4 linked regions of the Caenorhabditis elegans genome follow. The protein of the gene in region 1 purifies or fractionates together with the protein of each later gene. This does not show direct contact. Each region holds a gene or a part of one and is shown on either strand. Other genes may lie near its edges. The genes, in order: ZK1053.4, ZK105.3, phy-2 and clec-59.

Region 1 (7,644 bases):
TCGTTGGTTTGAATTGTGAGAGCAGGAACTTCGACATTTTCATTTCTAGCTGGAGTGTTGAGAAAGTATCTGTCTAGTATCTCAACAAGCCTGCGTTTACGGTCAGAACGTCTAAGGTTTGGGAGGTCCGGCATAGTTGTCTGAAAATAAATTCTACATAATATAAGAGAAGCTGGGGAACGAAAAGAGCTGAGAAAAGATTAAAGGAAAGACTGACTCTGAAGGAAATATTATGTGTCCCCGCAAGACACCGCAAAAAACACAAAATCTTCCCTTTGGTTCGATTTAGAGATAAAGCAGAAATAACAAAAGCGGTTCAAATTATTTTAGTCGAAAATAACAAAATTTTGGCCGACTGTAAACGTTTTTCCTACTTGCAAAATTCTACGTATTTTCATTCATTTGGCTCAGAATACTTGGAAAACAATAAAATAAGCCATAGAAAGTCTCGAATAAAGTGAATTTCCATCTGCTGTTTGGCCGTTGAGTCGGTCGTCTACGGTTGTTCAGCCGCTTTTTGTTTGCCAATCAGCCATGTGCGGCTTTCCAGTAGCTGCTTTCGGAGCACATCGCTTAACGTGAGCCGTAAGAGATTACTAATATAATAAAAGAGAGATAAATTGAATTTTTAAATCTAGAAAGGCCTAAATTTTGTTTTTTTTAAGTTAAAGGAGACCGTCGGGACTTTATCAATTTTTCAAAATTTCAAAAAGAGGTAAAAAATTAATTTCAAATGTTTATACCTACAAAAACTAAAAACGCATATGTACTCGGCAATTCCCGGCAGCTTCTTTCCCAAGTTTGGGCCTTTTCAGCTTCTTACCAAACTCTTGCCAACTTCTAACCCAGCGTATGCCCAAGTCTTACCCAACTTCAACAATTCTAGTGTAAACTCCCTCGCCCGAGTCTTGCCCAAGTCTTAGCCAAGTCTTGCCAACTTCTTACCCAAGTTTGCAGATGTAAAGAACGAACAAGATTCCGAAATCCCGCATGCGCAATGTTTAGCGTAAATCGACACTTTGTCTTTTGATTAATTTGTATTTAAAATAGAGGAATTTCAATGTAATTGAAAGAATTCACAGGAAAACTTGTCCCTTCAAAGGCAAATTCTAAATATTTTTCTCTGATGGCTAACATTGTTTAAAAAAATGTACGATCAAAGTTTGATTTTTATTGCCATTTTGTCTAATAAACCATTTAATTCATCTAAAAATAAAAAGAAAAGTTATCTTCAGGATGATTCTTCTCCTAGTCAGTCCAATAGTCAAATAATAGTCAGTCAATCCTATGCATCAAATTTTGAATTTTTCTAAGACTGAACTGTTCCTTTGAAATGTAAACTTTTATAAAATTGAAAGACATGAAACAAACATGAATTACAGTAATTCTGTAAATTCTGAACTTAGAATCATTAGGGAGCACACTTGAAAACATATGAAATAAGGTATGTGAGAATACCGTATCAATCAGATATGTCTGATACTTCCTCAAAAATATCTATCAGAATATGAGTACGATATATTATTACTAGTGTGCATCTTTTCGCGCGACCATCATGGCTCAGCAGGTAATTCTTCGGAACAACAGGAAATGCGATCAAAGTTCAACACACAGGTATAAATTGGGTAAGAAATAGGCAAAACTTGGGTAAGACTTGGGTAAGACTTGGGCGACGCCTCCAAACGACGAGGCAGACCACGACTTTTTTCATTTTTGTGGCGGCGCCCAACTCTTGCCCAAGGTTTACCCAAGTCTTGGCAACTCCTTATAAATGTTTTTATTTTTTGGGCAAGGCTTGGGTAAGAAGTTGCGAAGCCTTGGGTAGGAAGCTGGCGGCAAACGCCGAGTACATTTTGTCCTCTTTCAAAAACATAGAATTGCTGATTTTTTGTTGTTCTCTTGAACAAAATTGTTGCGCAAAAATTCTGGCATAAAAACGTTGTTTTAGTACAAATCGACTGAAGGTATTTTATTGTAAAAAAGCAACGTTACAAAGAAAATTTCAGATATTAAAAGACAGAGAATGTTCGAATTTACAAATTTTTTTTTACAAATTACGAAAAAATAGAAGATTTTCAATCAATTTCAGATGGTGTCGGTTGTGGCGATGAAATCAATTGGTGATTTGTTTCTGAAAATTGGTCTTGTAATATTTCTAAAAATGATGTATAGTAACAATCACAAACCTGGAATAACCATTGCTTGAACAGAAGAACATTGTGACAAACTTGGAGTAAATCTTTGTGGCCAAGGAAGAAAAATCTCAACATTCGGCAGCAGATTCTTCATTTTCTTCTCAGCAATCTGCACGGCAAACGTTGCGACGGTAGTTTTCGGAAGCTTCACGAATTGCTTCTTCACCATACAAAACTGCTCTTTTCTCAGCTGTCCATCATCATCTCTCATAATTACTTCGACTCCCTGCATGGAATTTTGCTCTAGTATAAAGAAAATATTTCCCTCCTGTACTTTTTCCGAATCGTATACTAATCCTGGACAAGTGACTTGATGGAATCGCTTCTTCTCACAATCATATGCATATGTCTCCATTTTCTCTGTGAATTGGTTCTGGACGTGGATGATGTATTTGCAAGTTTTAGCACAATATTCGGAGTACTTTGGGATCAGATCATTTTCAGTGGTTCCAGTCTTGCAACAATCACATACATGCAAGTTCAGCTCGTTTTCATCGTCGTTCAACGAATATTTAAGGTACTGGCCGTTGGGTTGAAGCATGTAAAGGACATCCATCTCATAGGTTTGACAGTATTCTTTTTTATAGGTGGGAAGTGAGGTTATGTAGGATACGTGCTCAGCATCCAATGTCTCCTCAGGTTCAGCGTCAGATTCCGGTTCAACGTCTTCTTCCACGGGTTCTTCAGCTTTTTGCATCCATAATGGTCTGACAGGAGCATACGGGATTTGAACCGAGTGCCCGAACTTATGAAGAAGTTTTCTAACTTTTTCTCCCGATTCGTCCCTTTCAATGATCACCTTGTCTTCTCCTTCTCCTGCAATCATCGCGACAAAGCTTCCATTGTACTCCACGTGCTCAGAGAAAACCAGTTCCGGAAAATCAACCTGCTCGAATCCTCCAGTTTTGAAGGAGAAGACGAATTGTCCAATTTCCTCGGTGAATCCAATTTCCATAAAAATCACATGATTCGAGATTTTCTCACACCAAACTGCATAAAGTGGGTATAAATCGTTTTCTTCAATCTGTTCCCGACACTCGACACAACAGTGCTCTTGGAACTTTCGATTCTGATGATCATAAGTGAATACGGTACCGTAAGGTTTGTCCACTTTAAAAGTGGCAACATTCCGTGAAGGGCAATATCCAGTAGATAACATTGAAGATGCATCAAATTTTGGTTGGTGAAAATTGTGAGAATGAACGAATTGCTGGCTCGGCTGTGGAGGTGGATACAGTGAGTATGCACCTGATCGTATCTTACGATGAGGGAAACTTGCAGTCTCAGGATACATTGGAGGAGGTTTCAAAATTGATGTTTGCACGGGACTAGGTTCTGTTGAGATCGATGATGTGTTGAGAGATTGAGAGCCTTTATCTGAAAATTACCTATTGAAGTCAATTAATGCAGCTGTTGAAACATACTATACGTAGTACTATGCATGTTCTTCCTCTACGATTTTGAAGGGAGGCACAATTATACAAAATGGTCTCTAGCCGCGCGTTTTGAACTCACAGCAGGGATGGGTAGCAAACGATTTTTTTCCGGCAAATCGGTAAACCGGCAATTTGTCGATTTTCTGAATTTGCCTGTTTTCGGCGAATTGTGGTTTTGCACAGTTTTTTTTGGAAATTTCAGAATTTTAATTTCAATCGGTAAAATTGTACGCATCCTATAAATGTTCCTACATCTATATTGAAAAGTAAAAAAATTTTGGGAAAATATCTAAAGAAAACCGGGAAAAAAATTTCAAAATGGCACTGGTTGATGTGTTTCCGTCTTATAAAAAAATCCTTCTGAACACTTCCGGCAAATCTGATATCCGGCAAACGTCAATTTGCCAGAATTGGAAAAATCTTGTGGGCTAAGAAAAAAGTGAGCTAAAATTGAAATTTGAATTTCCGCGTAAATTTTTTTTTGATGGCTTTGAAATTCTTTTTCTTACACTGCCCATAGTTAGCCAAACATGTTTTATACATTTTAAATTGCTTGTACAAAAAATTCTGAATTACCTTCTTTTGATTCTTCTGATTCTTCTGATTTTTCTGATTCTTCAGAAATTGTTACTAACGAAACATCAGAAGACTTTCCTTTAATTTCGCTGAATAAAGTTTCTAGAATTGATGACCGTAGTGAATGATCAGGGGGCCCGGAAGATGCACATTTTGCTAGAAGTTCCGTAGTCTCGTCTATAATTCTTTCAAATGGGCTTGAAAGTCTTGGAGCGGGAGAAGCCTCGCGGCTTGGTTCTGATGGGGTTTCGGGCTTTCTAATCTGAAATTTTTTTTTCAGTTAGCATTAGACAGTCTAATAAACGAACATGACAATTTTTCAGCTGAGAAATGAATTTGTCTACAGTAATATCTATCAACTGATCCGTGGTTTCGACCAGTTTGTTCAAAAATTCTTGACGACTAGCTATAGCATCGGCGATGGACGGCTCTTCGGTCTGAAAATATGAATATTCGCATTACTGAATAGTTTATTGTATGCCTACCTCGCTAGAATTCTGTGTATCGATTTCCTCTGTTTCTTCTTCACGAATACTCGACCCTCCCATCATTTCTCTAAACTTTGTGGGAAAACTTGTGTAAGCGTATTTCAGCTGAGCTTGTCGATGCTGGAAAAAATGAGATAAAAACGTGATAAAAATTAAATTCCAATCTCACCTTAGACCAAGAATCGTACACTTCTGAATCCTTTTTCATATCCTCCATAACTGCTACCTGCTCCGTTACATTCGTCGCTTTTTTGAGTCTTTCATTGAATCCCGACATGCGACTTTGCAAAGTTTCCGTTGGAACGGTAGATGGTTGCATTACAAGACCTGAAATAAAAACTTGTAACAGAATATTTTAAAAACAAAGGAGATTGCAGTACGTGTTAAAAAGTGGACAGAGAGGGCAACAGTGCGATGACGTAACGACTGTTTGGGAGGTCAGGACGCGTTCAATACGCAATGGTCCTCTGTGTACGCTACACTTTTGCCAACCCAAGATATCGATCTTAAATGTTGACCGAGAGAGACAAAAGATGTGTCTTGTTGGAGAATGTATTATTAAAAATTATTAGATACATTTTTTGTAGTAGGGTGGGCGGCAAAAGGGTTTTCCGGCAAATCGGAAATATGCCCAAAATAAAAATTTCCGGCAAATCGGCACATTGCCTGAAATGAAAACTTTTGGCAAATCTAAAATAATTGATAACACAGGGGTTTTTCCATGCTGATACCAAAAAAGAGCAGACCAGTAAAATGTGACTGTCCCCACCAGAGGAGAGTACTTTCTTAGTGTATCTATTAAGGTTGTATGTACAGAATGTGCAAGGGGCCAGGTCACTGCGTCTTTTTGGGCACACTACTGTGTATGAATAAATGACCTATTCTCCCCGGGAGACAAAACATTAGGGGGTATCACTTAAAGAGTACAGTGAAAGAATGGGAAAATGCAATATTCTCATCAAATTTGAATTTTAGAGAAAAGAATCTGAGTTGATAATTGTGGTCAGAATTGAGCCCCCATGAACAATAAGTAAATTCCTAAAAAATTGAGAAAAAAAATTGCCTTAGAGACAAATTTATTCATAGCTAATTTTTTTAAATGAGGAAAAAGCAATCACATTGTATCTTCGACTTTACTATTTGTATATTTATTGAAAAATTGGCATATGTGGTCGAACTCAAAAACTTTCCACTTTGACGCATCTGAAAATTAGTGTTTTTGAGATTGTTTGATCATGAAATTGAGATTAAAGTGATATCCCTACCGAAATCCTTTATCCAACGATAAGAACAAGAGGTACAGTAATCCGCATCCGCAGACGTCTGCAGCAGAGGTCAGAAGTGGAATTGCATGATTGTCCGGATCAATACCGAATGACCAGAAGGCGAAGACTATCAGCTGGGCCAGGTAGAGAATTGTGGATTGCTGGAAAAAGTGGAGGTTCTGTGTGGAAAGTCTTGATCACAGATCTACAAATCTTGATCTACAGTAACCCAACATTACGCTTATGACCATGCAGGAACCCTACACAGGGGGTAACATCAGTACGATCAACTTACTTGAATCAAAACTACTAGTGCATATGCAATGAAAAACCGGAAATCCGTCTCCACCGGCTCATCAATCACAAATGACATTGCAGTCGAGAGCCCGACAAAGAACATTTGAAACGGTAACGCCGTGAACAACAGAAGCCTCGCAGTTCTAGACTCTGAGCTCGCAGATCTGTAGTAACTAATTGGCGATGCACGTTGCCTCCATCCCAGGTCTGATGTCTTGTGTACTTCTAGATGTGATGATATCCTTGATGCAAGGACGGCTCCTCGATTTCCAGCGAGTCCAGAGATGAGTGTTTGATATGCTGGGTAGTTTGGGTAGGTCATCGCACCTTTACTTTGAAGTAGACCCGCACCACAGCTGACCATCGCTGCAAACGCCAGAGTGAAGCACTGTTGCTTGGCAATGCGCAGAGCATCTTCGTCGTTCCCTGGAAAATTTAAGATTTTCGAAAATCAAAAAAGTTGACAAAGAGACTTACATGCTATCATAATCCATAGAGGTATGCTACACGCTGCCACCACAACAATCACCACCGGCACCGAACTTGAAAACCCCGAATATGGACGAAGAAGATAGCAGAAAAAGAGCATCGAGCCGATTGTGAGCATGTCACTGATACTAGCGCCCAGTGGAGCTACAATGTTGTCAGGATTGTAATCATTCTTCCAAGCACAGTAGACTATTGTGAAGAGGACTGAAACAATTTTTATATTATAAAAAATTTTCAAAGTTAAGACATTGAGACTTACATGTTGTACAGATCGCGCAGTTCAGTGCAACCGAGAGAATTGATGATCCCGTCAGGAACAGTGCAGTTTCCTTGTTGTCTAGGTAGTGGTAGGTGTCATTGTGGATTGATTGTAAGCTTGTCGAGTTGGCAAGTGTCGGGTTGTCCAAAGACGGTGTGATTTGCACGATGCAGTAGGAAATCAAGTTGGTCAGGATGCAGATGAGAATTGATAAAGCCTGCGCCACTGCAGCATTCTTTCTGACTCTCAAATAAATATCTGGCTCGTTGAATTCTCCTTTATGAGCTAGTGTTGACATTCTTGAAGAGAAAGTCATATCCAGGTTACCACGTAGACCTTGAAGTGGTGGCATTAGGACGAGGAACTCGGGAACTTCCTTCACTAGTGTCATGGTTTTGTTGGCGTAGGTGAGCAAGAGGCCAGCCGAGATAGATCCACAGCCACCGAGGAAGAATGGGACGAGACTCTGGGAAAATATAATGATACAACTATTTTTCAAATAGTCATTGTCTACGGCACTAACTTAGAATGTTAGCTACGATAGTACATATACAGTAACCCGGGTGGCACAATGTTTCGGATGAAGCCTCTACTTTTTTCTTCGAGACCCATTGGGCGAGAATTCAAAAATTGATTTTT
Region 2 (8,496 bases), on another chromosome or scaffold:
AAAATTCAAAAATTTAGACACTGAACTTATCTATAATTTGATCTATCTAGTAGTAAGTAAAACTGGGCAAACACTAATTGACTATCTTTTCTTTGACTACCTTTGCTCATTGACTACCTTTCGGATCATTGACTACCTTTTGCTCATTGACTGCCTTTGCTCATTGACTACCTTTCGGATCATTGACTACCTTTTGCTCATTGACTACCCTTCGGCTCATTGACTACCTTTGCTCATTGACTACCTCAGATCATTGACTACCTTTTGGCTCATTGACTACCTTCAATTGCTCATTGACTACCTTTATCTAATTTTTCAGAATTTTCAGTTTATTTCGCTGAAAAATCAGAATTTTCAATAACATGTTACTTTTTGATGTCTAAGAAGGTCGTGCACTTTCTCATTTCCTGATATTCCGGAAAAAATAGAGATGAGATCTGATGTATAAATGCTCATTGACTACCTTCAAATGCTCTTTGACTACCTCTATCTAATAAAATTTTCCAAAATTTATTTTTTTGAAAACTTTTCAAAATTTGATCAGATATTGTAGAAAAGTGCAATTTTTGTCGTTTTTCTAGTTTGGATGTTCTGCACACTATTGCAGACGAAAACCTGAGGTATAGTAGAACCCCTAAGCTCAAAAAAACGCACTCACTTCGGATGCTGATATCTCCGTGGAAAAAAAATTTATGGCAAAGTGATTAACTACAAAGTTGTATATCTTAATCTAAAGTGCAACTTTGTAGTTGATTGTTTTTTCTCAAAAAATTTGTTGGTCGAGATAAAGTTGTGTAAAGTTTGGCACCTTCATGCTTGTATTTTCTTCTTCTTTTTCTGTTCATATCTCATCCAACAAATTTTTTGAGAAAAAACAATCAACTACAAAGTTGCACTTTAGATTAAGATATACAACTTTGTAGTTAATCACTTTGCCATAAATTTTTTTTCCACGGAGATATCAGCATCCGAAGTGAGTGCGTTTTTTTGAGCTTAGGGGTTCTGCTATACCTCAGGTTTTCGTCTGCAATAGTGTGCAGAACATCCAAACTAGAAAAACGACAAAAATTGCACTTTTCTACAATATCTGATCAAATTTTGAACAGTTTTCAAAAAAATAAATTTTGGAAAATTTTATTAGATAGAGGTAGTCAAAGAGCATTTGAAGGTAGTCAATGAGCATTTATACATCAGATCTCATCTCTATTTTTTCCGGAATATCAGGAAATGAGAAAGTGCACGACCTTCTTAGACATCAAAAAGTAACATGTTATTGAAAATTCTGATTTTTCAGCGAAAAAAACTGAAAATTCTGAAAAAATAGATAAAGGTAGTCAATGAGCAACTGAAGGTAGTCAATGATCTAAGGTAGTCAATGAGCAAAAGGTAGTCAAAGAGAAGGTAGTCAATGAGTGTTTGCCGTAAAACTGGCAGACTCCAAAAATGTCGGGACATGTGTGACACCTGCTCTACAACTCACACACATCATTCAGGCATTTTTGATTCCCAAAAATACATGAAAAGTCCACATGATATAAATTTTTAGACCCCCGACAGATAACGGCCAAATTTTACACTTTTGGATCGTTTGTATTCGATTCACACTTTTAAGAATGAAGAACTGCATGTCGCGAATAGCATGGAGCAGGATCTCCATTATTCACGACTTAATAATTATTCTATAATTATTGCATAAGTATTACTGTAATTGAACTCTACTGGCGAAGATCACTACTACGAACAATCCACATCCACATTGCTCTGAGAACTACATCATGCAACCAAGAACAAGGACGTCAATCCATTAAACACGTGAACCACTACCGCATGCACAAAAGGATGACGGACGCGAGCAGCCACGTGGTGACCTTTCCACGTCTACACCGACGACCACAAGACACGTGTACAACACCGCCCAACAGGAGATGCTCATCGAATCAGTCTTAACTTTTTACTCGCTTCATGTTCTTACTTTATGTTCTTGCGTTACTTGTCTATTAGTGTTACTAGTTGTCTATAATAAATCCTTGTAGAGTCACCAAGTGTACTGTTAGTTTAACTTATATAAAATACCACTGAACGCACTGCAAAACACTGCAGGCTTTCTGGAAAATGTTTTACCGCTTTTATACCGCTTGTAAATAACTTTGTTTTAAAAAATGAATATTTCAAAAATTTACTGTTAACCAAATAGTCTTGATTTGCATGATTTGCATGCAAATTTACTGTTAACCAAATAGTCTTGATTTGCATAAACTGATTTTTATCAATGTGGAATCTATAATAATGGTTCATATCTTTTCATTAACATCCTAGATTTACTGAACGATTTTTATAGTTGTGTTTCATTCAACGAGTTAACTAAATAAACATTTATAGTGTCTTGATAACTTTCCTCCAGAAAAGTGATAATGAAATTCTACGGAGAAAGTACACTTTTTGATCGACAACAAATTGCATTCTGAAAAATTATTTCCTACAAAATGTATGTACCACGAATGTTGCAGAAAAATCTTATCCTTTTACTTTAATTAATATTTTAATTGAATTAAACTATTTACTATTAGGGCTTTTGATGCCTGACTCATGACTGTTTTGGCCAATTGTTTGCATTTTGATGTCAACTCTTCTCAGACAAACGCTTAGTCGTCTAATTAGATTTCAACCAAATATAATGGGGACATAATTCATATTTGTTTAGAAATTCATGTTTGATTATATTTGCTCCATATTTTATTATAAAATCCATGTTACATTAGATTTGTTCCATATTAGATTAGAAATCCATATTTGATTAGATTTGTTCCGTATTGGATTAGATTTAAACCAATTTCATTAGATTTGTTTTATATTGGATTGGATTTCAACCATATTTGATTAGAAAATCCATATTGGATTAGAATAGGAAGCCTATTAATTATGTCCCCATTTGGTTGAAATCTAATTTTTGGTTGAAATCTAATTAGAGGACTAAGCGTTTATCTGAGTTGTGTTAAGTGTTTGCACATTGTAAAGGGTTATCTCTTTATTTTTTCTAACTTTGAAAGAAGAAATGGTTGAAATTCACTTCTATGAGACCAATATGACCAAATATCGTAGAAAAACATTTCAACCTTTTTTGAAAACTTATTATTATGGTCTCATTATGTTTTAAATATTAATATTCAAGCACATTAAATTTCTCAGGGAAATTTAATATTAGAATGGTATCCATCATATTGAGTTATAGGGGTCTCAAAGCAGCTGGGTTCAAAAGCAGCTAGCTGGTCATATAAAGAGACCACCACGTTGTAACTTCCATGAACATTTTGTATGTTCTTAAAAACGCCAAGTCGATCGCCGGACATCTGAACTTGTCTATTGTGACAAATGTCTCATCTCACTCTATCTTTTGTTTCTTTTATATAGATTCTAAAACAAGTATCAAGTGTTTATTCCACGAAAGTAATTTCAGATGAATTGGTCGATAAAGGCGTTGCTGTTTATTTCCTGCGCAACGACATTTTGCTATGTTGCACTAATGGGAAAAGCGGATCTATCTGCAAATGTAAAAAGAACAGAACTAATATCACCAGTTGTTGAAATAAAGAATGGAAATAAATGGATTGTTGTCACAAGTGTCAGTGCTCCAACTGAAGATGTTAAAGTAAACCGGTTCAGTGGTTTCAAATAACTGATACCATTTTCAGAGACTATCTTCATTTCCAGACTGGAACTTAGTTGTAGTAGCAGATACTAAAACTCCATTGGATTGGAAATTGGAAAATGTGCATTTCTTATCAGTCGAATATCAGAAGCAGTTGCGTGAGTTAAACATTGAATTCAATTTTTAATGCCAAATTTATATTTACAGCATTCTCCATATCTGCATTGCTCCCCTATAAATCATACACTCGAAAAAATATAGGCTATTTGTATGCAATTTCTCACGGAGCTGAATGGATTTATGACACGGATGATGACAATAAACCATATGTTAAGTTTACATTTTTTCAAGAATTTTTGTCCCATGAAATATCTGCTAATGATGGCATGTAAGATCTATGGGAACATTTGATTTCAGGTCAAGGATTAAAGCAATTCGACTTTGATGACACAATATCGGGAGTTCGGTATCGGCCTCAAATGAGAAGTGAGGAAAGAATATTGTAAGAAATTTCAAATATTGTGATTGCCTTTCATAACAGTTTTCTAGAAAACGACTTTTCAATCCTTACCGATTTTATGGAATGGATCAAATGTGGCCAAGAGGGTTTCCATTGGAACATATTGAGGTGGGAAAAAGTTAAGAGACAAAGGAAGACTTATGTATTCCTGTACGAACCTTCGCATTATTAATTCCACAGCGTGTTTTTTTATTTGTTTTTTAATATTGCAAAAAAACCAAATGACTTGTTTTCTTGAAAGCAATTATTTCCAAAAAAGTGAAAAAATTTCAAAAACGTTTAGAAACACACGAATGGGAACGATTCACAAGTATTGTGTTATCAAATGAAACGAGCAGCTGTGCAACAAGGTTTAGTGCGCCATGATCCGGACGTGGACGCAATTTATAGGTATGGAAAACTTTCAGTTATAAAGAAAATGTATAGAAATTTCAGACTGCTTCACGCTGACACTAAATCTGGTTTAAACTTGAAATTCAATAAGTTTGCTCCTCCCATAACTTTGTCCGTTGGCACATATTCTCCATGGAACTCACAGAATACATTGTTCCACAAATCAGCATTTCATACTTTGTTCCTCCCGACTACGGTGTCATTCAGGTTTACTATAAAATATTTTCATGGTTGACTTTTGATATTCCAGAACCACTGACATTTGGAGATCTTTTGTTTCTCAGAAAATCTTGCATTTATCCGGATTAACAGTGTCATTCGTACCAACAAACGCGGTACAATTCAGGAATGCGCATGACTATTTGAAAGATTTCAAGGACGAGAAACAAGTTTATGAAGATTCTGGAAAAATGATAGAATATCTTCATGACTGGAAATGTGCCCCTGAAAACTCTAGCGATTTGGAGAGATGTGTGAAACAGTTGGCTAATGATCTAGTTGAAGTGAAACTGTGGGGTAAAGAGGATGCTATGTTGACGGAAATGTTTTTGAACGATTTGAAGAGAGTGGGGTGAGTTGAAAAGAAAATGGAAGATTCTAGAAACGTAAAACAAATTTTCAACTAAAAGTTACATATCTGATAGTGAGTTTTATTATAAAAGTGAGTTTTAATATAAGAGGTGATTTGTAAAAGAAAAGAAACAATTATACATTTTTCACAAAAAATGGTAAAAGCGGTATTTTCAAATATACTCTTCTACTATTTATAGATTTGAATTCCCCCGCATACTTGATGGAAATTACGAGGATCCTTATACTCCATCGAAAAACGAAACCTCTAGAGATGTGAATTGCAGGAGAATGCAGCTAGACTTTGAATTAAAAGAAACAAAGAAAACTGACCTAGATGAGGTGGGAAAATTAACTCTCAAAAATGTATGAAACATGTGATATTTTATCTATTCATTCCAGAATGTTCAACGGGCTACTCGGAAAATAAATTATTTCGGAGATATCGTTTACTGGTGTAACGAAACTGATTATTCTAGTAAGTGTTCAATGTATGATTTTCTAATTCAGTATTCTCAGACTTAACGAATCAGTTCCCTTCTCCAGAGCAGCTTTCCAGGAAGCACGAAAACTCGTATGTTCTCAAAAAGAACTTAAACACGGTATGTTTGTCATTGTTAACCCGTTTTAGTTTTAAAAACAAACAACATAAATTTTTTTAACACAATTTTCAGGTCCTAATAGTTGTCAACAATTACCCATGGAAATATGGAATGGGTTTATTTCAAAGACTCTACGAACCATATTTTGCATCGACAATTTTCTGCGGTTCCTGGTATCCGGAAAATTTTACAAACGTTGATAACTTTACATCAACTATTTTTCCAATCAACTACGTTCATGTTAACCCTGCTGAAATCCACAAAGGATATTTTGCATATCATTGTGTCACTTTGGTTAAAGAAATGCGACTTAGCAATGTGGAAGGATATTTCATGATGGCAGACGATGCAATATTCAATATCTGGCAAAGAATTGATTACTCGAGAGTTTTCCATTTGAATGGAATCTACAACATTTCAAACGTTTGGTGGAGCGGAGATTATGGTGATTTGAAAATATTGGAACTTTCTTTTAGGTTTCTCCTTGTATTGTTGCAGGAAAAAAAGCAGCTATCAACATTTTGAAAACTATCAAAATCACTAACAATACAAAATTTCAAGATGCATGGAACAAATTTGACAAAGGATTGCAAAATTACGCTTTCTTCAACTTGACAGATAACGCAGAAACACAAATGCTGAATCCGATTGGAAAAAGTATCTCAGATTTGTGAGTTATGATTGCATCTTACTTTTCGGTAGGGTAAAGTTACACATGATTTTTGTGCACATTAGAAAAAACAAGTGACACATTGTTCACATCAGGGATGTGCGGCAAATCTCAAAATGCCAATTCGGCAAATTCGACAAATTCGGCAAACTTGCCGCACGCCCCTGGTTAACATATATCACAGTAATAATTCAAATTTCAGTTACTATATTCCCACATTACAAAGCGAGTACTATGCCAGTCTTATGCGGTTATTCTATGAAAACCAATTCTTCTTGGAAATCGCAGTGAATAGGTTTTTGCGATCCGTGGATCATTCAACGTAAATCAATTGTAAGCTGATTGTATTTATATGCAATTAAAGTTCAGATCTCTCTATGCTCGAACCAGTTATCTTTGGACAAACCGTGAGAAATGGGATACAGTTTATCACAAGAATATGGTTGCAATGCATCCTGTCAAAATTAGTAAATTCATGAAACCTGGTGCAGCTAGAAAGCGGTGAATTTTTTTTTCAGAATTTAGCAATAAAGTTCGAATTCTTGTAGATATTGCGCTTCAATACTTCAAATTTGGTCGGATATTATTTTCGGTGGATCTCGTAATTACACGGATAAAAGTGACGAAGAAATAGATTATATCAACGGGTTTCCTGTTAGACAGTTATATTAGTTATATTATTAGACAGTTATAGTTTCTTGAATTGAATTATGAATTGATCATTTTTTCTTAAATCGTTTATTGAAAGCATATGCAATTAAAAAAAAAGTGCACGTCAGACTTTTGTCAATTTTAGTTAAACTTTGTTCGCCTGAATAGTTGTCTGCTTATGAAAATGTACTTGTTGCAATTACTGGTCCAACTTGTTGACTTGATGCAAAAAATCTTGAAAACGCTTTTCGAAAGTCTCGTCTGTAGTTTTACAAATTAAAAAATCAACTCCTTGTAATCAAAAAAACTTACACAGTATAGCAAAATAAAGGGAGGGTGAAGCTTTGAGTTGAAAAGCTGATAATTCCAGCTGTTAGCTTTACAATTTGAATGCTTTCCAACGTGCTTTTGAAGTAAATGTTACCCATGAACATCACTGAATACGACAGAAACGCACCAAAGTAGTACATTACAGTGATTTTGATTAATGCTTGCACAATTGAAATGTTTGTGGAATCTTTAAAAAATCACATTACAAGTATTTCTGTTTGCCCGAAGAGTTTTTGCGCATTAAACAGTCCTATACTATTCCTATACTACAATCCTATAAACTCACCGTATTCCATAGCCTTCATCCGATAATTCACGAAATATTGCAGTGGGAATAAGATAATTGCAAATGAGAACGTTGAAACTTTGTACAAGTAGTACGCGTCGCCAAAACAGTTTGAAAGAACACAAATGTTTGAAGAGCTGGAAAACTATTTTTCAGTTTTAAGATTACAGCGCAAGTTCTACTTTTCAGTATCTTGTTGTAGGATAGCAAAGCCAAGAATCCAAAGAGCGTAGATAACTGGAAAGACGAGTAGAAATCCAATATAATACACTTCACAATGTTTCAAATTCTTGTATTGAATAGGTGTACACGTGGCAATTATTCTGTCGATTGTCAAAATAAGCGGCATAATTGTAAATGCGACAGCTCCAAAAGAACGCGGGATAGACAGGTACATGCAAATGTCTGGAAAAAAAATTATTTTGAACTCACAATCAATCTGTCTCAATTTCTAATATGTTTTTTTCTATAATTGCAATAACTTCTCGGTTTTTGAGTACATTTCTAGATTATTTTGAAAATAAACCAACCGCCAAATTTTGGGTACCCGGCCCCGCTTTTGTGTTTGTCTGTACAAAACTTATATGTGTTTCTGGCATGCAGGCAAGTTAAGCGAAATTAGAAAATTTTCACAGACAGATTATTCAAAAGTTCAGGTACCTTGTCGGAAAGGAACAATGATGGAAATTAATATTAGAGGTATTCCAGAAAACTGAAAAAGTTGAAAAACTATGGAAACCAAAATCAGACGATAAAACATGGACTTCAAGTTTTTGTTTTTCAAAATTATAATCAAGAAAATCAAGTTGAAAAAGAATCCGATGATGA
Region 3 (9,749 bases), on another chromosome or scaffold:
GCACTTCCCTTTTTCTGTCCTCTCCTCAATTTCTCATGTTTCACAACGAAACAAAATTCATTAGATTTGGATGCCTTTCTGCCCATCAAGCGAGAAAGAAAACCTGTTTAGCTGACCAGTTCCGTTTTTTTTAGATTTCTTTTGCCAATTCTATCATATCAATATGCTGATGAAGGAAATTGAAAAAGTAATTCAAATCTCTCCTGTTTTGGAAAATGGTTGGTACTTTAGCTGCCTACCTGAAAGGTTAAGATTGGGCTAGGCGCGTAGGTATAGGCTGCCTCATTGGCAGGCAGTACCAACTACGTAGGTTTGCCTAAGTCTAGATCTAAATCATTTTGAAGACTATTAAATGTTAGACTTCTTCCTATTTATTTTGTTCGCCCTGTTTTCAACGATGGAAAAATGAATTTCCAATATTTTTAATTTCAGAAACCGTATCAGTTGTAAAACAATTAATAGTTTTCTTCCGGTAATACCGGTCTCTGTCTCCTTTTCCAAATATCCTTTCATCCATCACATCCTCAGAAAGTTTTTCAATCCGCTTCTCCTCCTCCCAGTTGCCTAGTGCTTCTGGTCTTTCTCTTTCACCATCTGGCACCCGCTGATCGAGTGGTGGCGTCTCCTCATCCTCTTTCTTATTCACAAACATTACTACCAAACTGCAGCATCACAGTCACGTAGGCATCGGAATATGCACGTCGACTGCGCATCTGACACGTAGAAGTTGGAAATAAAGGAGGAAGAGAGAGACTGTGCGACAGGGTGTAAACCGTCTCGGCTTCTTCTCACGTCTGCGCCCCCATCTTATATAAAGATCTACACACTTCAGCGGCTTCGCGCCTTTTCAGCTTCCGTTTTTGGTTTTTCAGTCCGAAAAGTTGCCTTTTTTTAAGTCAAAAAGTGGCAAATCGCCAGTTATTCCTATATATATTTTCAGAAGATATCCAAAAATGTTTATTCAACAAATTTCTAACTATTCTTACACAGCTTTTATTGCATTCAAATGTCACAGTGATTTGAAAATGCAACATTTCTTCAATATTTCCAAATGTGTCGAAATTTTTATTTTAGAAATTTGGAAGTTTTCAATTGACTCATTTAATATTAGGTTAGGAAGTGTACCAAACCAAAACTTTGACTGAAACCTTTCAAAAATCGTAGAGGTGATTCAGAAAAGTTTTTAATTGTTTTATTGTGATTTTCGGTGATGTTGGACCATTACAAGTAAATTTATGCTTTTGCTAGCACACTGAAATTGTCAGGAAATTTACCGAAATTCATTTAACATTTATTTAATTTTTTCAAGACCTGAATTATCGTTTTGGAAGTGGAGCAACAAACTCCGTCTAAATCAAGATTAACTTTTGTTTTAATCAATTTAATAAATTTAATAAATAGCAAAGATCTATGAAAATATATCAAAGCTTTAGACTATAGTCTATAGCTGAAAACGCTGAAAATCAAGTTTTATCTGATTCTTTTTTTTTTCAAATTCTATGATTATTAAAGAATTTCATCATAATTTTTCTACTTTTAGCTTTTTATCTGACTTTGCAATACATGTATTGGTTAAGAAAACTCAAAACTTTGAATTCCCCCTAATTAATTTAATTAAATTGAAAACTAATTAATACCCAATTTCCTCATCAATCTCCAATTATCCTCACCTTCCCATTTTCATTCTTTTCATTTCCACGTCATCCATAAATCTTGCGCGATTCAACCTAGTTATTGGTATTGTTAATGGAGGTCAATCATCCACTGGATCGAGAAGACACCGTCCGTTCCTACGTGCAAAATCTAATTGAGAGATCGGAAACGCAGGCAATCAGGAAGTTTCTTCTTCTTCGAGAATCGCGCGACGCGGCGAAAAGACTTCCACATCACCTTAGACGGTCTGATTGCTTTTCTCTGTTTTTTTTAGCGAATCCGCTATTAATCTTGACATATATTCCAAAGTTTGAAGGTTTTATATTCTTTAGGAATGTGTACATTCTGTATTTTTAGTTAAAATCAAACTTGAAAATGTAAAAATTAAAAATCGAATGTCAGTGTATCATTTAACTTTTTTAGTCCAGGTTTTGAAATTTATAGTTCTAAAAATTCTAAGAAACCTCATTTTATCTGAAATCATCATGCTGTAAACAAGGGTTATCAATCTGTCTTGCTGTTGAAAATAATATTATTTATTCGCATTTTATCTAGTATATTTTTACCATTTTCTATTCTCTATTAACCATATTTACAGAATTTTAATAAGGCATAACCAAGTGAAATGTTTCCAAAAATCAGATGACCATACAGTTTTGGAACACTATGAACCTAAAAATTGAATAATTTTTTTAAAGTTTTGTATAAAAAGCTTGAAACGCATTTTGAACACATACATTTTCCACAAAAAAATACTGAGTTCATCTATATCTCTGTAGTGGTAATCTATAAAAGATTGAGATCTAAGGTGACCTCAGATATCCTTTTATATTTATTTGGTCTTTGAGGCACTAATCAAAACTGGAAGAGATAGTTTTTTGCGGTTTCATCTAGATTTATTCCTTCATATTTTAGAACTCTTGGAATTAAATTATTCTGAAAAAAAAAACCATTTTTTGAAGCTCCAGAGATAAGGAAAAAAGGATCACACAATAAATCACGTAGGCCTTTATGTAGGTACATACTTGTCTACCTGCCTACAAGGCGACGGACGTGCCTACTGGCAAAATGGGAATGAACTTTTCCCATATAGACAGGCGGTGTCTGGCCTAACTCTATCCTGCCTCCAGACAAGGTTGACAGGTGAATGCTAAACTCTATTATTCTTTGTCTATTCTTCTTTTTCATAAATATATTCATATAAATGTGTCACACAATGCAACTTTTGTTTATAAACTTCAACATCCGTTCCACGTACACCTCCCTCTTCATCATCATCCCCCCTCAAATTGTAAAAATATACAAAAAGTGCTGGTGCAGACGGCTGCTCTCTACACTTCTCATCTGCTGTGTTCATCTTTTTCTCGTAGTCTCTCACTCTCTCGCCACCGATTTTGACCTCGAACATGTCAGTTGTGCACTGATTTTGACCCCCTATTTCTCACGTTCTACAGCTTTTCAAATTTCGGAAACAAATCGATTTGTCTTTCAGAATGAGAGCAGTTTTGCTAGTCTGCCTTTTGGCAGGACTTGCTCATGCAGATTTGTTCACTGCAATTGCTGATTTGCAGGTGAGTAGTTAATCTATGATTATGTAATTAAGTTAGAGATTTCAGCATATGCTGGGAGCAGAGAAGGATGTAACAACAATCATCGACCAATATATCGAAGCAGAGAGAGCCAGGCTGGATGACTTGAGGAGGTGAGTACTGTAGAACTGCAAAATTGAGTAGGTTCCAGGGATAGAATGCCGTTTAGTAACCGAATTGTAGATTATAACAAAATTTCCAATTCTCAGAATCTAGAATTAAAATTTTCTGATTTTCATGTGTTGGGAGAAAATAAAGTTATGTTTCTTCAACAGATGAAAACATTTGCTACAGTAAAAATTAGTTTTTTGCTGATTGTTGAGTTTTTGATTCAAAATTGATTGAACTCCATATTTATCAAATGTCCCCTCTGGTAGGTTCGAAATATAGGTTTTTTTTTAAATTTTTGATAAAAAGTCTTCCACGTGGGCACATCTTACGCCTGTCTATTGCCTACACGATTACCGATTGACAAAGTACACAAAATCTATTGAACTTTTAACAAGTTATTTTTGATTAGACAGTCCGCAAGGGCCACCAAAACGCCACAAAAAATTCTTAAATTTCTAAATTGTACACACACCAAGAATAAAAATGTTCGCCAATACCAAGAAATACGTGATATCATGAAAGTCTCACTTTAACAAAAACTAAACATTTTCGGACATCAAGGTGACTCAAATAAACAAATCATTTTACAGATACGCTCACGAATACGTGCACCGAAACGCTCACGCCGAATCAGTTGGTCCAGAATTTGTGACGAACCCAATCAATGCTTATCTTCTCATCAAAAGATTAACAACCGAATGGAAGAAAGTCGAAAATATAATGTTGAATAACAAAGCTTCAACTTTCCTCAAGAACATCACTGATAACCGAGTTCGTAGTGAGGTCAAATTCCCAGGAGAAGAGGATTTGAGTGGAGCAGCAACTGCTCTTCTGAGACTCCAGGATACTTACAGTCTTGATACTCTTGATTTGTCAAATGGTATTATTGGAGGAGAAAAGGTTTCTAATAAGCTTTCTGGACATGATACTTTTGAAGTTGGAAGATCTGCATATAACCAGAAGGATTATTATCATTGCTTGATGTGGATGCAGGTTGCGTTGGTTAAGGTAAGCCTGGTTTAGAAAATACGGCTTTCAAGCCGAACCTAAAACCAAAAAATATGAGCACTTAAACGCGTAGGCAGGCACGCAGGAAGCGAAAAGCATTTTCAACTCCATTTATTCGTATAAAAAGTAAGTTTTTTGCTGCTTGAGATTTGTAATTATGCACCACTACGAGAACTATCATATTAACGGTGGTTTCTTTGTACTTACTCAATTTTTTGATTGATGATCTATCGTACCTTAAGCTGGACTTTTTCCATAGCAAAATTCCAACAACAAATCCTAATCAAACATTTTCCAGATCGAAAACGAGAACCCACCAACAATTGAGGAATGGGAAATTCTCGAGTATCTTGCATATTCTCTTTACCAACAAGGAAATGTTCGTCGTGCACTTTCTCTCACCAAACGACTCGCAAAAATTGCTCCAAATCACCCGAGAGCCAAAGGAAATGTGAAATGGTATGAGGACATGCTTCAAGGAAAGGATATGGTTGGAGATTTGCCACCAATTGTTAACAAGGTTTTTTGCTTAGTATTTTATAATTTAAATTTTTGTTTGCAGAGAGTTGAGTACGATGGAATTGTTGAGAGAGATGCATATGAAGCTTTGTGTCGGGGAGAGATTCCACCAGTTGAGCCAAAATGGAAGAACAAGCTGAGATGTTATCTGAAGAGAGACAAGCCATTCCTGAAGCTTGCTCCAATCAAGGTCGAGATTCTTAGATTCGATCCATTGGCTGTTCTTTTCAAGAATGTCATTCATGATTCTGAAATCGAGGTTATCAAGGAGTTGGCTTCTCCAAAGGTGCGAAAATTAGATTATTCGATAGTTAAGTTAGAAATAAAGTACGGTGAATGGGGATTTTGTTTTAAAATACAAAAAGAAACTGAAATTCCAAAATACCACCAAAATATGGCAAAAATCGAGAAATTGCTAGATTTCAAATGTGACTAATATTTTCATTCGAATTCCAAACATCATCCAAAATGAGAACCCCCTTGAAAAATAATGTTGTTCAAATATCGATTTTTGTGTGGTATTTCTGAAATTCTGACTATTTTGGGTATTTTAGTACAATCTTCCCACTCACGCAACTATACCTTTCAGTACAATACTGAAACTAGAAATTGTATAATTTTAAGCTAGAACGTGCTACAGTAAAGGATTCTGATGGTAGCCTGGTTACTGTAGACTATCGAATTGCCAAGAGGTGAAAGGTATTAAACGTTTAACTGTACAGTAACATGCTGTGAACTTAGAAAATTAGATATTTGACTTACTGATTTCTTTTTCAACTTCTATTCTTTCTCCTTTGTTGCCTGAAGTGTGTTATTTTTTAGCTGAAGCGAGCAACTGTCCAAAATTCGAAAACTGGCGAGCTGGAACATGCCACGTACCGTATCTCAAAAAGGTTTGTGCTTAAGTTTTTTGGAACGGTTTTGTTTGATTTATTTTGAGTTGAAAGATTAACTAAATCAAGTTGATTATCAAATTTCTTGAATCAAAAATGTTTCAGTGCTTGGTTGAAGGGAGATTTGGATCCAGTTATTGATAGAGTCAACAGAAGAATTGAAGATTTCACCAATTTGAACCAGGCTACTTCAGAGGAGCTTCAGGTAAGCAAGAGCCCTGCAACATGGCTAAGGCCTTTAAGAAGGCACATAAATGCCTGCGTACCTGCCTCATGCCTTTATGATAGGCGTTAGATAGGCAGGCAGGCAGGTACGTGCTTGCCGACTTTGTGTTGAAACGGAAATGCGCACTATAGTTATATATTTTCCTTGTGAAATCCTCTCGGGCAATGAATTTACATTATTTTTTCGAAAGTTGCCAGTTTCTCGTAATTTTGAGAAAATGTAAAATGGGGATTAAATTATTTCATAGACTTTCTTGATAAACTTTTAATTTTCAAAGACAAAACTCGAAGAATTCTTGAAATTCTAAAAATCGAAAAATCGTTTAAAATTTCCATTTTTAGATATTTTCGTTTTTTTACAAAAAATTGAAAATTCCTTGTGTCCATTTTTGAGTTTTCTAGGCTAGTCACATCAGCAAAAAGGTCTAAAATGCCTTCAATGCCTACAGCCTAGAATATAGGCATTAGAGGATTCCCCAAGTTTTACTAAAAATATTAATTAAAGTTTATAATATTTTCAACAAAATTGTTGCTGTTTCAGGTAGCTAACTACGGTCTTGGAGGTCACTACGACCCACATTTCGACTTTGCCCGGGTAATAACAATTTTCAATTCTTTTTTATAATTTCAGATTGCAAATTACGGTCTCGGTGGTCACTATGAACCACATTACGACATGTCACTGGTTGGTTTACTGCCTTCCTGCTGACTTGTCTTGCTGCTAATTTTCAGAGAAAAACTGCCGAATCGTACGGTGGAAATGGTAATCGTATTGCCACTGTGTTATTCTATGTGAGTTTTCGATTCAATTTTAATTTTCCGTATTTTATAGAAAGAAGAGAAGAATGCATTCAAGACGCTCAATACTGGAAACCGAATTGCGACTGTTTTATTCTATGTGAGACATGTTTCATTTATAATTAATGGTTAATAAGATTCCATCACGAACTTTTTATTTGCATGAAAATTCTTTAGCTGTTATTGCATGAGGTGTGCTAATCCAAAAGTATGTGATGGAATCTTAACGTTTGAACTTTTAAATTTGTGATTTTAGCGCGTGGGAGCTGTGAGAAAACGGAAAATTTTTAAGGGGTCTTAAAATTTTACTGTTGATATTTAAAAATGAGGTTTTATAGTTTTTTGGCTCTATCGAACAATTTTTATTATTTAATCTAATAATTATCTTCTTTTTATGATTGTTTAGCTGAAACTGATGTATTTTCTAATGCCTACTTCTGGAAATTCGATAAATTCGAAACTGAAAATAACAATATCAAAATTTACTTTAAACTCAAAGAGCAAAAATCGTTCAAAATATAGTCAAACATTCACTCTCAAGATTTTGATTTTTTTGAAATTTTCAAACTTATTGGGTTCATAATTTTTACAAATAAATAGATGAAAAAATAGTAATATTTGAAAAGTTTACAAACTGATGTTTATATCCTTTTGGTACTGACCTAAATTACGAGAAAAGTGTGTGTGACGTCACATTTTACAGACGCGAAAACCCGACAGTTACTGTAGATCAAACACATTGTCAGATAACTAGAACGAACCCTCTGTTTCTCCTTGAACCAAACAATTTTTTTCAGATGAGTCAACCAGAACGCGGAGGAGCAACCGTCTTCAATCATCTTGGAACTGCTGTATTCCCATCGAAAAATGATGCTCTCTTCTGGTATAATCTTAGAGTAAGTGTTCATTTCTATTTTTCCTCGCAATTTGGAAATATTTCAGAGAGATGGAGAAGGAGATCTTCGTACCCGTCATGCTGCTTGTCCAGTTCTTCTAGGAGTTAAATGGGTCTCAAATAAATGGATTCACGAGAAAGGACAAGAATTCACAAGACCATGTGGATTGGAGGAGGAAGTTCAGGAGAACTTTATTGGAGATTTGTCCCCATATGCCAATGATCCATAGATTTGATTTTTTACTCTCTTTTTTGTTTTTTTTTTTAATTTCATTGTTGCTTACTGGTGTTTCACGGTTCCAATATTTTATTTGATCGCCAAAAAATGAAAGTGTTCTGGTTTTAAAGAATGAGTTTTTGATATTCTGAAATCTAAATTCAAAGCTGTTTATGCCTGCTTCATGCCTGCCTACATCAAACCTACATCAAACCAAGATTATAGTCATGTCTACTTCATGACTATAATCTTGCCTATCTATGTTCCTACCTATTCAAAATATAGTCCAACATTTAAAAATCCTGTGAAAAAATCACGGTTGTGGCTTGGATTAAAAATGATTCGATTCAAATCAGCATAAATATCTCCCTACGTGCCTGCCTGCCAACAACTCTAACAAACATGTAATTGTACCTGATACATACAGTTTTTCCTTGCCATACTTTATTAAGTTAATCAAAAATTATTTCAAAATTATATGGACAAATTAAATATTATTAACTTTAAAAAGACTTTTAATTTTATTATTTTCCTTATTTTCTTCTTCACTTCCTTGCAACGCACTCTTTAAGTCATTCTGGAAATTTGTTTTGTTGAACTCGATCTCGAATTTAAGCAGTTCAATCATTTCGTTTTTCTGAAATTATAGTTTTAAAATTTAATTCCATGTAAGAAATCCGAACCTCTTTAATAATCTTTCTGGCTTGTACCAAATCATCAACCAACTCATTTGCATCTTCCTCCGCAAATTCCAATGATTCCAGTTTTTGGCTCAATTCCTTTATCACCTCGTTTCGCTCTTTCAGTTTTCTCTGAAGTCCACCAATTTTTGCCACAAAATCTCTTTGATGCATTCGAATTTTGATTAAATGATTGCTGATTTTACTTCTCTCTATTTTCATCTCCTTCTGGTGCTCTTTAATCATTTCCTCACTAGACTCGCACATTAATTTTAGTTGGTAATGAGCCTGCAAACGTTGTATATAAAAAAGAATGTCAAGATGCCTGCCTACATGCCTGCCTACCACCTAGCTCTATACATTTTGGCATGCATTCAGGAATTTAGTGAACCTCTAGAAAGTAAAACTGGGAAAATTTCCAAAGAAAATTTAGTTAATTTTCACCAAATTTTCGAAAGTTTTTTTTTTTAAAGTCAAACATTTTCCAATAAAATATTTCGCATTTTTTTCAAAAAAAACACATTTTCCCAAAAAAAATTCGATCCGTTCTACTGTCTATTTTAAAATTTAATAAATCTTCTCAGCTTTAAACACCTCTTAATTTTTTATGAGGGGCTCCAATAAATAGCTTGAGGGGAACACGATTATTGGAATTTACTTTTGAAATTGAGAAATTTTCAGACTCTCGAGAATTTCATTGATAATGCTAATAAAATATTCAAAAATATAAAAAAAAACAACAAAATTTACCTTTGCCTTTTCCTCAACTATTTGCAACATTAACAGAGCTACAGTAACCGCGTACAGTAACCCGAATAGAATCGGGAAATTATCCATTGAAAGTGTCATATTCCCGTCTTGAAAGATATTAGTTAACCACGACATTATAAAATAAAAAGATTGTCTTATAAGATAAGTAACAAACGAATGAATGAGCCGGTCGTCTTAGTCAACGGGTCAAGTGTTTCAGCCGCGTTCGTGAATCAATAAGAGCTGGAATTGCCTCCTGGCATTAGTGACTGTAGTCCACACTTTCTACTGCCTAAATTATCCATACAGGGCAATGTGATCAATTGATCAATAGGTTATTAAATATAACTATTTTATGCAGTGCAGTGTTTCATCCTTTTGGGAAAATTCACGGAATCAACAGGTGAATTT
Region 4 (6,325 bases), on another chromosome or scaffold:
CAGCGGTTACTGTAGCGTTACTATTGTATGTCACAAATCCAACACATGTACTACGTTTGTCCGAATATCCCGTTCCGATTCTGATATCCGACCCAAAAACTTGAGTTAGAGTTTGTCGAACCTGGAATTTTGAATTGAATAGTTTTTCAAATTATCGAATAACAAACCTGCCATAATTGGGCATCTGTCATTTGCATGGATCTATCAACAACTACAACAACATCCAACCATAGGTTTTTGATATTTCCTGGACATGCTGGATCGGTGTAAGCAGCTGCGTTTTGTGGAACTGGAGAGCAGTAGATCCCTTCAAAAAATAATTTATATTTTATCTGATAGGAAATGTTTCATGTGAAAAACCATTGTGAACAAAAAGAGTGACTTACCAAAAACAAAAATAGCCAGGCATGCAAAAACTGTATTCATTTTTTGAGGCTTCAGTTTTTGAATGTCTTTCTTGAATTTTCACTGATCTTTTATACTCATTTGTTTCTTTAATTTTGTCTCTAGATTAATTTTAATGTCATCATACTTCGTGAACTTATCAAAATGCTAAGATGACAGATAAGAGAAATCATCGCATTTTGTAGCTGCAAATTTGTGAAGGTGTGTCTCTGTGCATCATAAATTCTTAAACAGTGTCCTGAACTCCTGAAAAACTTCAACGGTTTTTATAATTTTTGTATTTTCAAATCTTAAAGTTACCAAAATTTGCAGGCAAACTTCATTAGCTTTCTCTTTCAAAAACTTTTCTGTTGTCAAAACAGATAAGAAAGTTGATAAGAATTATCACCAAACTAAGAAGCTCCCATCATTTGTAGTTTCTAAATGTCAAAGGCGTGGTTACGATCGTTTGAACCATTATGTGTATTTTAGTTGGAAAAATGGAGTCTCTTATCAATGACTTTTCAGCCAAAAAAAAAATGTAGTTTTGATTCAATATTATCAAAGAGGGATCAATCATTGAAACATCTTCAAAAAATATAGGATAGCATATTTTGTAAGGGAATGATGAAAAAACCCTTCTTTAAAAAAAAACCAATATAGAAATTATATCAATTATCCCCAAATTTGAAGTAACACTTTATTTTTATGCTATTTAATATTTTCCCCAGATATGCCGGAACAATATTCGCCTCCACAATCTCAATGATTTTGTTGTGAATATAATCGTCACCCCCAACAGGAATAATACCATCGTCCTTGATATTTTCATTTTTTGAACAAAGCTTTTTTTCCAGATCTATAAAGATAACGATCGAACCAGTCTGAACATCCAGCTCCCCACTTACAGCGATCAATAATAGCCACACATCAAAACTATCCCATCGTAAAAGGTGCAAGGTATCCCCCACCTATATCTCCTATTGTCACAGTGGGAAAATGGCCAGACGCTGGTTAATATCCAAAAGGAGCGTGGCACACCGGACCATCTATATAAGGACAACCGGAATGAAAAAGTATCATTCATTCTGGAAATCTTCCAGTTGTTAGCTACCTAGCTCTCATTGCCTTTTGCTCTTAATTCCTATTATTATTGCCAAAATGGAATACACTCAAATTCCTTCCTTTGCTCTCTACAACAATGCTTCCATCTTCCAATTCTTCCCCCGTAATAAGCGTCTCAGTACTCATCAGAAATCTTGCCTTGATGAGCATGCTCGAAAAATGGCTGTTTTCATGATGGAGAGACAAGAAGAGTACCGTTACTACGAGAACTTGGCCAATCAGGAACAATTCTCCGATGATGCCTGCTTCAGTGACACTGGAATGGACTCCGGATTCTGCAGTGGAGACACTTCAACTGGACAATCAGCTTCAACATCTCCTGCTCCAGCCCATCTCATTCCAAACCCATTCTTTGATCCAGAATATGTTGCTTCCAAGACAACTATGAAACTCGTTGCCAATCCATTCTACAACCCAAAGCTCGCCAAGGAAATCAAGAAGAAGTCTACTCATACTTCTAAGTTTCAATAATTTCTCATTAACTCTTACAACTCTCCAAGTGCCAATTTGTTTTCTGTACTTTTCATTTGCCGGTCATTTATTTATTTTTTCTTACCTTTTATCTTGTTCAATATTTTGTAATTTTCCGCTTAAAGCAAAATTTCCCGTGTTTTTTATTGTTGTCCTTTCTAATTCCTAATCAATAAATTAATCAGTATAACTGAAAGATCGTTAAAGTTTGTCTCACAATTTTATTCATTAAATTAAAAGCAATCAAAGAATTGAATTTATTTGTTTGACAACAATTGTACATAGTATGAAGAAAATCAACATTAATAATAATAAATTACATATAAAACTAATGGTTTGAAATGGAATCACCTCCAGAGGAACAGTAGTTATTAGTGTCACAAGCAGCAGTTTCACATACATAGTTGGAGGCAGCTGCGAATTGATGAACGTTTTGCCATCCAATTTCCAAATCAACAGTTGTCTGTCGATTCAAAACAGTTGTCAACGAGGAATCAGATATTGGATATCCTGAATTCCAGATTTCATAGTTCTGAAGTTGTGGTTGTGTCCAATCTTGTGGCTGATCCCACTGCCACATTCCATTGACCTTGTTCAGTCCGATGTGATAGCTTAATGGAAAATGGAAACCAGAGAAGTTTTTGACAGATGATATAACAAAATTGTGTTTCCTGTTGTCATATTCATTGAGAAGATATGAATTTCTCCATCTATTACGGCATGATAATTGAGCAGCACGCCAGACGGCAGTCAATCCAACTGGAAGAATGCAGATTCCGTAACGGTAAGAATCCACGTCATCATGCAAAGCACGGTATTGAATCCAAGAAGTTGGACAGAAGCAATTTGCTGAACAATACGTGTTATTTCTTTATAAAATCAACTCAGTTTGAGATACCTTGAAGTAAAAATCCTTGAATTTCTCCGATAACATTCAAATTTTCATTCGAGAGATTGTGATAAGGAGTTGCAATTTTCTCGAGATCAACAAGAATGTCTCCGTCTTTATTTTGATCATATGCCACGGTGATAATTGTAACTCCAGAGGTTTTCAAGCGTTGAGCAACTGGAACTGGATTCAAGTCTCCACTTCCTCTGAAATTTTTTGGTTTTTAGTTGGGATTCCAAAAAATGCAACTCACTTGTATGTAGATGCATATACAATCACAACCTTCTGATAATGAGCACGGTTAAATCCATGCTTTCCCGCTTGAAAAACCTTCTCGGCTTGTGAAAGCCCTCTGGCAAGATATGATTCTTCAGAAGAGCTTATTGTTGCCAAAGCAGAGTTAATTCCACTATAGATATCATCAATTGATTGGAACTTGTTTAGATCCGCCGCCTGGAACAATACTAATGAGGAACAACAGTTTAGGGAAACGCTTACAGTTGTGGCATCAACATTGTATGTCACTAGTGCTAGTCTTGTAGTCTTTGGACTTGTCGGATTAGTGCCAATCTGTGTATTTTTACTGAATATGGAAGCAATATTTGCAGCGACCTGAAATATGCTCTTTTCAATAGAATAATTTGATTAGAATTACCGTACACTTGTCAATCCTCCCTTGGTCATTCCAGCAGAGTTATCCACAACAGCTACAACATCCAACCATAAATTACTCAAATCTTGTCCACATATGCGATCCGTATAGGACGAAGAAAGGTATGCTAAAAGTTACTAATTTTGGCAGGTAATTGATTGAAATAAGACTTACCATGAAACAAGAAGAAGAGCAAACAAATGTTTTTACTCATTTTTGCAAACAAATGAATGATTATTTTTCTCAATTCATTCTCTCTTTTATACACATGGAAGTTTCATTAAAATGATAATACACAAGATGCAGAGTGTATGTTTGAATTGAAGTATCCCAGACACACCTTATTACTGTCTCTTGTTTTCAAAAAAAACCAACGGATGAAACTTTGTTGTATTGAGGAATTATTTAACTGATAACACCACTGGTAACTTATTTTCGTACTACTATTTTTGAAAAGTAGTTGCAATGTTTTGAAATGCCGTACTAATTGAAAAAGTACGGGAGATTTCATTTGTTGTGAAACAATTGGTTAACGTAATTTTTCCTTCAAAATTATTGGTGAACAGTGTTGCTAAAAATTTTTTAAGTTGTAGCAAACGAAAAGAGAAAAAAGAAAGTTAATTATTTATTGAGAAAAGCCGAATAAATTTATTTCAGTTTTTGCTAGATTGTTAGAAATTTAACTTCACAAACTAAGAGTTGAATTATCAGTATCACAAGACGCAGTCTCACAAACATCTGCATTGAATGGTTTAATATTCTGCCATCCAGTCACCAAAAGTCCGCTTATTCGTTGGTTTGAAACACCTGGATTCCAAATTTTTATTACAAAGAGGGAGAAGCAGTACTAATAAAATAAATACGGTCTGTAGAATCAGAATTTATTATTATACAACAACAAGTATGTATCGTGTATATTAGTGTTTTACGGAAATTTCAGCAAGTCCAGCTTCGGTGCAGTAATTATCAGTATCGCAAGATGCCGTTTCACAAACATAATTGGCTCCAGTCGTCAGTGGCTTGATATTCTGCCATCCAGACTGCAGTTGCACACTTGATTGTTGATTCAGAACTCCTGTGAGAGTAGAGTCCGAAATGGGATATCCTGGATTCCATCCTGCATAACTTTGAAGCTGTGGTTGAGGCATTCCTTGTGGTTGATCCCATACCCAGACACCTTTGACCATACTGAGTCCGTTGTGATAAGTTAGAGGTACACTGAATCCTGTGTAATTGCTCACTGCAGTCAGGACATAATCGTGTTTGTTCGAATCGAATTCAGTGACAAGATATGCATTTCGGTTCATGCATGAAGATTTGGCAGCGCGCCATACCGCATTGAAACCGACTGGAAGAATGCAGACACCGTAGCGGTAGGAGTGAACATCAGTGTAAGATACACGGTATTGAATCCACGAGTTTCGGCAGAAACAGTTCACTGAAAATAGTTTGTATTGCTATATAATATAAGTTCCTTTAACAAACCTTGCAGCAAAGCATCCTGAATCTCTCCAATAACTTGCCCGTTGTCTTCGGTATTCGTGAAGTTGTATGGTGGAGATGCAATCTTTGCCAGATCTGCAAGAAGAGCACCGTCTCCGTCTTGATCATATGCCACAGTAATAACAGTCACTCCAGAAGTTTTCAGTCTTTCAGCAACTGGCACTGGGTCCAAGGCTCCGGATCCCCTAAAGACAAGCAATAAATGGTTGCACAAACTGTCTAAAGAACATACTTGTAAGCTGATGCATAGACAATCACAACTCTCTGATAATGAGTACGGTTGTACCCTTGTTTGCCGGCTTCAAGTACATCTTCTGCTCTTGCAAGCCCATTTGCTAGATATGACTCTTCGGAAGTGCTGACTGACGAAAGAGCACGGAAAACATTATCGTAGACGTCATCGAGTGATTGGTATTGGTTAAGATCGGCTTGCTGTAACATTTTTAATGTCTCGAAGATTTTGATACTGATAACGTGGAGTATGGTTGGTGGAAGTTTGTAAATACATAATAATTCCCAGTTCATGAAAGAAGTTACTGTAGTTTTTCTTGATGCAACAATTGTGACTTAAAACTATTGAATTAAAATCTTACAATCGCCGCAGCTTTGTTGTAGGTTACTAATCCAAGTCTTGTGGTTCTTGGCTCAGAAGGATTTGTTCCAATTCGAGTACCACTACTGACGACTGAAGCAATATTAGCGGCAATCTGGAATTCCTCATAAAATAGTCATTTTTGCAATTAGTTTGCCTACACTTGTCAATCCTCCATTTGTCATTCCAATCGAGTTGTCCACCACAGCTACCACATCCAACCAAAGATTTCCCAAGTCTTCACCGCATCGACGGTCGGTATAGGAAGGAGACGGAGTTGTGGAAGAATCCTGAGCAGAGCACGCTGAAATAACGTAAATCAAGTGGCGGAGCGTAATTTCCAGGAGGGGGACCACTTAGTTAAGGCAATTTTTTTAAGCAGGTATAATTAGATTTCAGATATGTAGCTAAAAAGTTTTATAGTTCTGTGAGGGACTATTTGACCTACCGTACACTCCAATCAAGACAATAAGAAATGTGAGTTTCATTGTGAGAATTGCAATAAAAGTGAAATCCAACTTCTTGCCCAACCTTTACCTGAAACATGATAACATGAACAAACGCAAATCCTGAACAATGTTCTATAGCAGGCAGGCGTGATAGGCGCCTGCCTTATTTTATGAAAATCAAAAAAATAAATGAAAAACAAAGTCGCATTGAGGTCAGGCAGGCAGGCCTTTTGCCGCCAACATGGATTCCCTATCGGCAA

The links.
Region 2: the proteins of ZK1053.4 (region 1) and ZK105.3 fractionate together in Caenorhabditis elegans (co-fractionation; one large-scale study listed by BioGRID). This does not show direct contact.
Region 3: the proteins of ZK1053.4 (region 1) and phy-2 fractionate together in Caenorhabditis elegans (co-fractionation; one large-scale study listed by BioGRID). This does not show direct contact.
Region 4: the proteins of ZK1053.4 (region 1) and clec-59 fractionate together in Caenorhabditis elegans (co-fractionation; one large-scale study listed by BioGRID). This does not show direct contact.

The regions. Positions count from the first base shown.
Region 1 is NC_003279.8:13,239,039-13,246,682, reverse strand, and holds ZK1053.4 (SET domain-containing protein), read right to left. Parts: upstream 5,029-7,644; 5' UTR 5,015-5,028; coding exon 4,865-5,014; intron 4,816-4,864; coding exon 4,693-4,815; intron 4,645-4,692; coding exon 4,516-4,644; intron 4,470-4,515; coding exon 4,208-4,469; intron 3,573-4,207; coding exon 2,187-3,572; intron 2,132-2,186; coding exon 2,076-2,131; 3' UTR 1,953-2,075; downstream 1-1,952. Other genes in the region: ZK1053.6 (SLC41A/MgtE integral membrane domain-containing protein), read right to left, coding at 5,957-6,121, 6,256-6,683, 6,735-6,950, 7,006-7,471.
Region 2 is NC_003283.11:7,693,688-7,702,183, forward strand, and holds ZK105.3 (Glycosyltransferase), read left to right. Parts: upstream 1-3,454; coding exon 3,455-3,646; intron 3,647-3,689; coding exon 3,690-3,804; intron 3,805-3,853; coding exon 3,854-3,975; intron 3,976-4,062; coding exon 4,063-4,148; intron 4,149-4,195; coding exon 4,196-4,274; intron 4,275-4,449; coding exon 4,450-4,556; intron 4,557-4,601; coding exon 4,602-4,766; intron 4,767-4,809; coding exon 4,810-5,130; intron 5,131-5,329; coding exon 5,330-5,471; intron 5,472-5,531; coding exon 5,532-5,607; intron 5,608-5,648; coding exon 5,649-5,731; intron 5,732-5,803; coding exon 5,804-6,176; intron 6,177-6,229; coding exon 6,230-6,401; intron 6,402-6,603; coding exon 6,604-6,723; intron 6,724-6,770; coding exon 6,771-6,902; intron 6,903-6,949; coding exon 6,950-7,073; 3' UTR 7,074-7,127; downstream 7,128-8,496. Other genes in the region: srsx-40 (G_PROTEIN_RECEP_F1_2 domain-containing protein), read right to left, coding at 7,361-7,569, 7,669-7,805, 7,851-8,065.
Region 3 is NC_003282.8:12,209,384-12,219,132, reverse strand, and holds phy-2 (Prolyl 4-hydroxylase subunit alpha-2), read left to right. Parts: upstream 1-3,145; 5' UTR 3,146-3,146; coding exon 3,147-3,224; intron 3,225-3,269; coding exon 3,270-3,355; intron 3,356-3,943; coding exon 3,944-4,361; intron 4,362-4,659; coding exon 4,660-4,881; intron 4,882-4,923; coding exon 4,924-5,166; intron 5,167-5,452; exon of another isoform or gene 5,453-5,473; intron 5,474-5,702; coding exon 5,703-5,773; intron 5,774-5,878; coding exon 5,879-5,978; intron 5,979-6,539; coding exon 6,540-6,593; intron 6,594-6,830; coding exon 6,831-6,896; intron 6,897-7,593; coding exon 7,594-7,692; intron 7,693-7,738; coding exon 7,739-7,921; 3' UTR 7,922-8,036; downstream 8,037-9,749. Other genes in the region: F35G2.3 (uncharacterized protein), read right to left, coding at 8,396-8,545, 8,592-8,876, 9,339-9,425. UniProt on the Caenorhabditis elegans protein: Catalyzes the post-translational formation of 4-hydroxyproline in -Xaa-Pro-Gly- sequences in collagens and other proteins.
Region 4 is NC_003280.10:10,475,714-10,482,038, forward strand, and holds clec-59 (VWFA domain-containing protein), read right to left. Parts: upstream 3,736-6,325; coding exon 3,696-3,735; intron 3,649-3,695; coding exon 3,530-3,648; intron 3,482-3,529; coding exon 3,368-3,481; intron 3,323-3,367; coding exon 3,123-3,322; intron 3,076-3,122; coding exon 2,879-3,075; intron 2,830-2,878; coding exon 2,309-2,829; 3' UTR 2,291-2,308; downstream 1-2,290. Other genes in the region: clec-58 (VWFA domain-containing protein), read right to left, coding at 1-121, 168-307, 387-426; ZK666.4 (Pepsin-I3 domain-containing protein), read left to right, coding at 1,546-1,980; clec-60 (VWFA domain-containing protein), read right to left, coding at 4,439-4,959, 5,007-5,209, 5,257-5,456, 5,618-5,731, 5,778-5,920, 6,065-6,104.